Linked DNA regions of Arabidopsis thaliana. The protein of the gene in region 1 interacts with the protein of each later gene in a pairwise test. Each region holds a gene or a part of one and is shown on either strand. Other genes may lie near its edges.

Evidence for each region.
Region 2: the proteins of AT1G78995 (region 1) and TDT interact in a protein complementation assay, tested with the Arabidopsis thaliana proteins (one large-scale study listed by BioGRID).

Annotation. Positions count from the first base shown.
Region 1 is NC_003070.9:29,714,572-29,718,500, reverse strand, and holds AT1G78995 (uncharacterized protein), read left to right. Parts: upstream 1-2,245; 5' UTR 2,246-2,421; coding exon 2,422-2,798; intron 2,799-2,880; coding exon 2,881-2,925; intron 2,926-3,010; coding exon 3,011-3,068; 3' UTR 3,069-3,429; downstream 3,430-3,929. Other genes in the region: HAC1 (histone acetyltransferase of the CBP family 1), read left to right, coding at 1-42, 148-287, 456-534, 621-1,013, 1,124-1,341, 1,454-1,563, 1,726-1,862; AT1G78990 (HXXXD-type acyl-transferase family protein), read left to right, coding at 3,532-3,929.
Region 2 is NC_003076.8:19,286,574-19,292,847, reverse strand, and holds TDT (tonoplast dicarboxylate transporter), read left to right. Parts: upstream 1-1,744; 5' UTR 1,745-2,500; coding exon 2,501-2,947; intron 2,948-3,694; coding exon 3,695-4,835; intron 4,836-4,918; coding exon 4,919-4,953; 3' UTR 4,954-5,479; downstream 5,480-6,274. Other genes in the region: AT5G47550 (Cystatin/monellin superfamily protein), read left to right, coding at 5,884-6,252.

The DNA.
Region 1 (3,929 bases):
CTATCTGGGAATGCTTCCAAGGATCTGCTTCTAATGCATAGAGTAATATTTTCTTTCTATGAATATTGCTTCCTTTTTGTATATATTTTTTTCTCATTTGTTTTGTTTTTCTTGTTAATCATATTCACCTGTTTTACCGATTCCCAGCTCGGTGAGACCATTCACCCGATGAAGGAGGACTTTATCATGGTCCACTTGCAGCCTTCTTGCACTCATTGCTGCATACTGATGGTATCTGGTAATCGTTGGGTCTGCAGCCAGTGCAAACACTTCCAGATTTGTGACAAGTAAGAATTCTTTCGAGGTCTTTTTGCTCTTTGATTTTATAATCCCTTCTTTGTTGTATTGCACATAAGATTATGTAGAAGTCCCGAGAGATACATTTATTGGATGGGCTATGTGTCCTTGTTACTGATTAAGTTCCTCTGAATCTAAAATGTCATTCTTCTTTTTAGGTGTTACGAGGCTGAGCAGAGACGTGAAGACAGGGAAAGGCATCCTGTTAATTTTAAGGATAAGCATGCGTTGTATCCAGTGAGTTGCATTTTCTTGTTGAGGATAGTGTTCTTTAGCTTTGTCTATGATCAGTTTTGTGAATATTGGTGGTATTGATATCGCAGGTTGAGATTATGGATATTCCTGCAGATACAAGAGACAAAGATGAAATACTCGAAAGCGAGTTTTTCGACACTAGACAAGCATTTCTGAGTCTTTGTCAAGGGAACCATTATCAGTATGATACATTGAGGCGGGCAAAACATTCGTCCATGATGGTCCTTTATCATCTACATAACCCAACCGCTCCTGCCTTTGTCACGACCTGCAATGCGTGTCATCTTGACATTGAAACTGGTCAAGGCTGGCGCTGTGAAGTATGTCCAGACTACGATGTGTGCAATGCCTGTTTCAGTAGAGATGGTGGAGTTAATCATCCTCACAAGTTGACGAATCATCCATCTTTAGCTGATCAAAATGCTCAAAACAAAGAAGCGAGGCAATTGCGAGTCTTGCAGGTATACACTATACTGTTCCTTTCTAAAACTGATGGTGCTTCTCTCTTGGTCCTGAAATTTGTATGCAAATAGTAACATTTTTTTTTTGTTCTCTTCTTTTGGTTTTGCAGCTTAGGAAAATGCTCGATCTTCTGGTACATGCATCACAATGTCGTTCGGCACATTGTCAATATCCGAATTGCCGGAAAGTGAAAGGGCTATTCCGACATGGTATCAACTGCAAAGTACGTGCTTCGGGAGGTTGTGTTCTATGCAAAAAAATGTGGTATCTCCTGCAACTCCATGCTCGGGCCTGCAAGGAATCAGAGTGCCATGTACCTCGTTGCAGGTAAACAAACCTCATGAAATTACATCAACCTTACATTTAAGACGTGAAACATATTTGGTCCATTTGATTTTGTGTTGATGATCATTGTGAACATCTCTGTCTCTCTGTTCAGGGACCTAAAGGAGCATCTGAGAAGATTACAGCAGCAATCAGATTCACGGCGCAGAGCAGCTGTAATGGAAATGATGAGACAAAGAGCTGCAGAAGTCGCTGGGGGCTCAGGTTAAAAAAAACTTGTATATTTAGAAAGATCAATTCAAAGTTGCAAAAACTTTCATCCTTCTCTCGAAGGTAACACCTTTTGGAAGAAGAAGAAGAAGAGCCAGTTAGAGAGAGACAGATTGTGAAATTAGCTTAGATTGGTATTTAACAGTCACGGGTCAGGGATTAACATGCGAGCTTTAAACCAAGGATGCCACTTTCCAGAAGAAGAAGAAAGAGAGCAATGCCAGCCTTCTTCACAGATGACAAGAGTGTTGAGAGATTCAGGTTTGATGGGGTTTGGTTGGCTGATCTTCTGATTCTATCTATACATACACACACGCGCACACACACACTTGCCCACTTCTATTTTTGGTAATTTATTGTATTTTTGTAAAATTGACATTTCTGATTCGGGAATGGCAAGAGTGTAACATATACAGTACGTTAACGTGTTTTTTTTTTTTTTTGTTTTTTTTTTGTGTAAGCAAAGTAAGATAAGAGAGAATAGAGAGTCTTTAGATTCTCTACCACTCTTTTTTTTTGGTAATTTGTATTGATGAAATTTGTATTCACACTTTGAATCAATAATAATTTAGTTCTTTGATTAGATTTGTAAACGTGCATGTTTTATTTGCAGTTAGTGTGTTACTGTGATTGAGAAGAAGGTTTAGAGAGACGAATCTTAATGCCACGTAAGCAGGAGATTCTGATAAGTATCTAACTGGGCGTTTGGTGGAGTTTGAGAAGTATCTAAATTCCAAGCCACCAGAAACGGACACGTGTCTAAACAAGGATAGAGTGTAGAACGAGAACCACTTAGCTTAAGCAAGACAGAGAGTCTGATGAGAAAACTGCACAAGAAAATCAGCAAGAGTAATGATAATACACTGTCCTTCGTCATCTCTCTATCGCGCGAAATTGTTATACAACAGAGGTAGTAGTAAATCTCATCAGTGTCAGTGTCAGAGTCGCTTGGTGACTCGATCTGCGGCTGTTCGTATATCCACGGCGACGATCGGGGCTATAGCCGCGGCGGTTATGATGGCTGCTGTGTCCGTAGCTTCAGCAGAGCTTCCACCGCCGCCGCAAGATGGAGAAACGTTATCTAACGTACCGCAAACGCTGTCAGGGGAAGACTGTAAGAAACAGAGGATCCAACGACCAAAATCCAAAAACGCAGAGAAATGTACAGTCAAATGCGTAAACACTTGCATTCGCAGCGGAGACGGAGAAGGACCGATCAATATCAGAAGGTATCTCTCTCTCTCTCTCTGTTTCTGTTTATATCTCTCTGAATTCTTCATGACTGATATTTTGATCTCTTGTAAATGAAAGGCCATTAGTGGTATTCAAGCAAGGATTTCGTAGCCGTAATTACTGGTATCCTTCTTTCTAGATTAAAGGGTTCGTTGCTTTCTTTATTAGCATGGATCTTAATTATCGGAGCTGTGACTTGTAATTGTAGCTTAGTGGAATGCTCGGATATATGCAATTTGATCGGAGATGGTGACTATGGTCCCTGAAACATGAAAAGAAACAGAGGAGAAGGAAAAGGAACTGATTCAGAATAATTTTGTAGAATCTGTTTTTTTGGAAAGAAGATTCAAACACGGTGATATTTGGTCTCAATATAAAGAATACACAGGTTTCAGAGAATTGCTTGGCAGATTGAGGGAATCCAAGTGACTGTGTCTTGTTTCTTCGTGACATGCGGCAAAACACGTTGTTGGCTTACAGTTATTTCTAATTATCTCGTTGAAAAATCAAGGCCCAATGGGTGGTAATATGGCCCAACGGAAAACTAATGGGCCGTACGCATTATCGTAAACCAGCTTGTTCTGTTTCCTCAAATTAATAAATCAGCGAAATGTTGGAAAGTTTCACCTAATTCACTCCTAAGCTCTGTTATAAATTCTCTTCTAGACAGCATCTTCCAACAACCCACACCACACAACATTCTTCATTCTCTCCGAAAACAACAACCAAATGGGAGAAGCGGCGGAGCAAGCACGTGGCTTCCACGTGACCACCACCAGGAAGCAAGTCATCACGGCGGCTCTTCCCCTCCAGGACCACTGGCTCCCACTCTCGAACCTCGACCTCCTCCTTCCTCCTCTCAACGTTCACGTTTGCTTTTGCTACAAGAAACCACTTCACTTTACCAACACAGTGGCTTATGAAACCCTCAAGACTGCTTTGGCAGAGACTCTCGTCTCCTACTACGCCTTTGCCGGCGAGCTCGTCACCAATCCTACCGGAGAACCGGAGATCCTCTGCAACAACCGTGGCGTAGATTTCGTGGAAGCCGGTGCTGACGTGGAGCTCCGAGAGCTTAACCTGTATGATCCTGATGAAAGTATTGCCAAGCTAGTCCCCATCAAGAA
Region 2 (6,274 bases), on another chromosome or scaffold:
TCATCAAAACAGGAAGCGTGTTTTCTTCACTGCTTTGTTCTTTAAAATGTTTGTTGTTTCCTGCTTAGAACTTGAAGACAAAAGAATAAAAAGAAGACTTTGTTTTTATTATATGCGTTGTCTCTGTAATTAACAGTGACCAGTGAGAGAGATCCATAAGAGAAGACTTCTGGTTCAGGAAATCTTGAGTTGTGTTTTGTAACTTTTAGAAAACAATCGTCTCGCAATTCAGTTAGCGCCATGTGTCGAACCAAGTTTGAGCCTCGTACGACTTCAATCAAACAAAGGCTACAATAAAAAGAAAAAAGAAAAAAACAGAAAGACAAATTAAACCTAATGGGGCATGTGAGTGGGACATTGAGAGAAACTCGAACTTGTTCGTATCCGTCTTGGAATTGAAACTTTGGTTTTATATCCATTACGTATTCGGTATTTCTTTCCTCTTCTGTATATTATTCATATCTTATACGCATTTATTTAGTTCTCTTTGTTTTCTCTGATGATTATCTCTATCAAAATTCATCACGACAAGTAGTTTAGTAAGAAATTCGTATTTGTAAACATAGATCTTATTCTTACGGGTAAAAATTAATATGATAAAAGATTGGTGTGACTTGTCTAAAATTTTTATACTAAGAAGAATACTTTAAGAAGCTCTAATTTGAAATTTGATAAGTGACTGTGGGATGATGAATTGGATTTGACTTGTACAAATACACGTCTAATGTAGACTTGTCACAATAAGGGGCAAGTTTAGAGACTACATAGTCTACAATGCAGATGATTAAAACTATAGTTGATAATCATAGAATCTTAAATAAAAATCATAGAATCTATGGACTGAAACTTTCCAAGTGATGGAATCAAAGACAGCCACATGAGTCAAGGATTTCTTTCAATCTTTTCAAATATTCCATAAGAGTAAATAATAATAGTTTCATGATCAAAATCATCAATGTGATCTGCCTATGTGTCATTTGTACCGGCTCTTGTTCAACCTGACTGTTTTGGACCCCTTCAAAACAAGATTGTGATTGGTACCACACCTCTATTTTTCTCTCTTATTATGTTATATCCAGTTATATTTGAGGGAATAGTTCTTATAAGTCTTCCTTCTCTTTGTTGGCAAACTGGATATAGCAAATCTCATCGTACGTATATCTTTACATGCATGTGTGTATGTGTGCTTATCTTCTTTAGACCAAGTGCATCTATATCTCTTAGAGAGATTTGACAGACAAGTTAAAAAATCCAAATACATGTCGATTCTTGAACATTTCTAAGAAAATTTGTATCTATATGATTATTACAACAATATGATTATTATTATTAAATTTGGAGGAAAAAGGACAAAAAAAAAAGAGAGGGGAGGGTAAGAACCAGGGAAGTTGGGCTCTGGAGGAGTACCAAAGGCTGCATATAATAACGTGTCTCACTCGCTCTCTTTACTCTTGCCAACTATCAATTTGGCTTTCAATTCTTTCTCTTTTGTCCTCATTTATTTCCATATTTTTCAACATTTCTATATCCTCTTAATTCTAAACCATAAAAAAGGATTTATATATCAATTCGAAAATGATTATGTTTTTCTAAATATTTCGTAATATGTAGCTTATTTAGCAAAAGAATATACTTTGAAATTTTAGTTATTCTACTATCCATTTGACATATTAATCAAAGTTACAGGCTTATGGATTGTGGATAAAACGAAACCAATAAATGTTAATGGAGAAGCTACGATCAATATTATCTACAAGTTATAACTCTTAAGTTTACATATTTTTAATGATTAATTCCCTATAGGCTATAGCACTTGGATTATATGACTACTGAATAATTTATTAGCAAATAGATTGTTATGATTACTTGTCATCTTAATCTCTAGTGTCCTTTTATGGGTCATCAGATTCTAGAGTCCAGACAAAATTACAAGCCATCACAGCGTCGCCACTTGTAACTTGTAATTTGCAAGACCCCATCATTTTCATTTTCATGGCCGATTATTTTCCTTAGATAAACTGAAAAGTCATCAATCACATATTCACTGAAGAATGACCTTTCTTTCGTATATTAACCCATTATCTAATAATTCGATTTTGGCTTCCAAAAAAATACATTATTTGTCTCTTTAATCAATCTTACCCCATACATTGTTAATTTTATTTGCGTGAACCAGCAAAAATTTGTGATTGAAAATACAATTTTTTTTTACAGGAAAAAAACACAAGTTTACTAAAAAGGCCTTCACATACTAAAACATGTCACATGTGTCACTCACGGTCTTACACCGAATATTTTCGTCATATGACCACAAACTTTAATTATTCTATAAATAACCTTAATATAAACACATTTCGTATATTTATTTTTATGTTTTGCCCAAACACATTATAATAAAAGAAATAAATAAATTTATAAAAAGGCTCATTTCTCTTCTTCTTTGGTTCTTACATTTCTCTATATCATTTTTTGTCCTTCCATTAAAAACGGAATAAACAGAATGAACGGTGGTGATGTCACCGTCGCCGGATCCGACGATCTGAAATCTCCGCTCTTACCGGTCGTCCATAATGATGAACCATTCGAACGACAAACGGTGGGACAACAACTTCGGACAATATTCACGCCCAAAAACTGTTACATCGCTCTTGGTCCTCTTCTTTGCGCCGTCGTGTGTCTATGCGTAGATCTCGGGGGAGATGAAACGACGACGGCGAGGAACATGCTCGGTGTTTTGGTGTGGATGTTCGCGTGGTGGTTGACGGAGGCCGTTCCGATGCCGATCACCTCCATGACGCCGCTCTTCCTCTTCCCTCTCTTTGGTATATCGGCTGCGGATGACGTAGCAAATTCTTACATGGATGACGTCATCTCCCTTGTACTCGGCAGCTTCATACTTGCTCTCGCCGTCGAACACTACAACATCCATCGCCGGCTTGCCCTTAACGTTAGTCTTTCCTTTATCTCTTTATCTTCTTCTTCTTCTTCTTCTTTTTTCTACATAATTTATTCAATATTTGATTCTTTCCGATTGTGTGCGGGTCCACGGGTGAATTAATTACAAAATATGATCGTTAAATAGGTGGATTGCTTCAATTGAATCCCTACTTATAAAATTAAACATTACAATGTGTAGTGGTCCATGTTTTATACGTGGTGATGCCAGATTATATGTTTTTCCTTCCCCATACATTTTTTTCCCCACACACATTTATTTCGTTTTAATTCTTCTTCAATAATTTGTGTGTTCAAAGTCTAATGATAACTTGATCATTTAAAGTTAAGTTATTAACATACAAAGAGTCCTTTATTTCAATTTTTTAAACAAAATCTTTTTCATATGCATTTTATTTTATTTTATTTGTATCATAGATGAGATGTCATTTCATGAGGCCCTAGGCCAATCCATAATTCCATTTATATGACAACCCAAAAAAAAAGATGAGAGACACGTAAACACTATGTTTCTCCAGCAAAAGCAATGATAGTGAGTATGATTTAATTTGTGCAAGTGCGGGCTCCAATAATTAGCTCACAAGTCACAACTATAATCATTGTTTACTTTTATCATGTTTTTAAACTATAATTAATCGTACGAGAGATATCCTATGATTAAGAGAAAACTCACCAGTCACCACGTATCTAATTATGATAAGCTAATACCATAACTTAATGGATAATCTAATTCTTGAAGATAACGTTGGTGTTCTGCGTGGAGCCGCTAAACGCGCCGCTACTTCTGCTTGGCATCTGCGCCACAACAGCGTTCGTAAGCATGTGGATGCATAACGTAGCAGCTGCAGTCATGATGATGCCTGTCGCTACGGGGATACTTCAGAGACTGCCCTCGTCATCATCGACGACGGAAGTGGTGCATCCGGCCGTGGGGAAGTTTAGCAGGGCGGTGGTGTTAGGTGTGATATACTCTGCGGCGGTTGGTGGGATGAGCACACTCACTGGAACAGGAGTGAATCTGATTCTTGTTGGAATGTGGAAAAGCTACTTCCCTGAGGCTGATCCGATCAGTTTTAGCCAATGGTTCTTCTTTGGCTTCCCATTGGCTTTGTGCATATTCGTGGTGCTTTGGTGTGTTCTTTGTGTTATGTATTGTCCTAAAGGAGCAGGACAAGCTCTCTCTCCTTATCTCCATAAATCTCATCTCAGGAGAGAGCTTGATTTGTTAGGGCCAATGAACTTCGCTGAGAAGATGGTCTTAGCCGTGTTTGGTGGGTTGGTTGTGTTGTGGATGACAAGGAATATAACTGATGATATCCCCGGCTGGGGTCGGATCTTCGCCGGCCGAGCCGGGGATGGAACCGTGAGTGTGATGATGGCGACATTGTTGTTTATCATCCCAAGCAATATTAAAAAAGGAGAGAAGCTAATGGACTGGAACAAATGCAAGAAACTACCATGGAACATTGTCTTGTTATTGGGAGCTGGATTCGCTATAGCCGATGGAGTACGCACCAGTGGCTTAGCTGAGGTCTTATCCAAAGGACTTGTCTTCCTTGAAACGGCTCCTTACTGGGCCATTGCTCCAACGGTTTGCCTCATCGCTGCTACCATCACAGAGTTCACTTCAAACAACGCAACCACTACATTGTTGGTTCCGTTACTCATCGAAATCGCAAAGAACATGGGGATCCATCCTTTGCTCTTGATGGTTCCAGGAGCCATTGGGGCTCAGTTCGCTTTCTTGCTTCCCACGGGAACACCCTCTAACGTCGTTGGGTTCACGACAGGGCATATAGAGATCAAAGACATGATCAAGACAGGCTTGCCTCTCAAGATCGCTGGAACCATCTTTCTCTCCATCTTGATGCCCACTCTTGGTAATTTACTCAAAACCTTCTTCTTTATATAATAAGATTCATTGTAGTTTAGTTTTCTTATAGATATTGTTACATGATGCCAGGGGCTTACGTTTTTGCATCAATGGGAGGAGTTTAGTTCTACAAGCCAAGCACAAGACCATGTACACAATTGATTTATTGTACTATATTGTTTACTACCGTAATACATATGTAGATATATAGTCAATGGAATGGGAAATTTAGATGAGGTCAAAATTCACAAAATCGGCCCATTTTTGTAACCCGCCCGATTATAGTTTCCGGTACCATTGCTTTCTTTTGTGCTTCCAACGTACCGGTAACTTTGGTCCCTTTTTTTTTTTGTTTGGTGTGTATATGAAAAAGGGTTAATACAGATTTGTGTGTTCTTCTTCCTAACAATAGCAACTAGTGGCAAATCCAGCGCGCGGTCCAACCTGGCCATACCATACCACGTCATTGTCCAGCGTGTCTTCTTCTGTTTTCGGTTTTCTACAAACACAAAAAGCAAAGAAAACAAAACATCAATGCATGGTTTATAACGTCTTGCTTTTTAATTAGTTTTTGTCCTTTACACTCATTTATGTTCTTTCTTTGTCCTTTGCTATACACTACTTGTCTATTGAATAATATGCTTATAATCGTAAAAAACTACAAGTAGTCATAATCCTTTTGGATATTTATTTTCGTAGGTAGAAGTTGGCCATTGCAAATTACATAAATGATATCCAACCTCTAGAGGATAAACCTCATTAATTTGTCTATATTATGCTGAATTCCATAACATATAAAGAATTATGTGAGTGTTAATTATTTACCAATAAATTAGTATAAATTTTGAAATACAAAGCAAAAAAGTTTTTCATAAAAGTTCATTAAACCTTTTGCCTAAATTATGGCATGTGTTATTAAGATTAGAAATAAATATTCTGCTAGAAATCTAGAATTCTGCCACACGTCATGCCACGTGGCGGACCTTTAATGTATTTAAAAGCCCTTAAACTCAATGCCATAATCAATTTTGAGGAAACAACAGTTACAAAGCAAAATGACTAGTAAGGTCGTCTTCCTTCTTCTCCTCTCTCTCGTCGTCGTCCTCCTCCCTCTCTACGCCTCTGCGGCTGCCCGCGTCGGTGGTTGGAGTCCCATCAGCAACGTTACGGACCCTCAAGTCGTAGAGATCGGTGAATTCGCGGTCTCCGAGTACAACAAACGGAGCGAATCGGGACTCAAGTTCGAGACGGTTGTTAGCGGCGAGACTCAGGTCGTATCTGGTACAAATTACCGTCTTAAGGTGGCGGCTAATGACGGCGACGGAGTGAGCAAGAACTACTTGGCAATCGTATGGGACAAGCCGTGGATGAAATTCAGAAATCTCACTTCCTTCGAGCCTGCCAATAATGGTCGCTTCCTTTAAGCTTTTAACATGTAACCGCTCT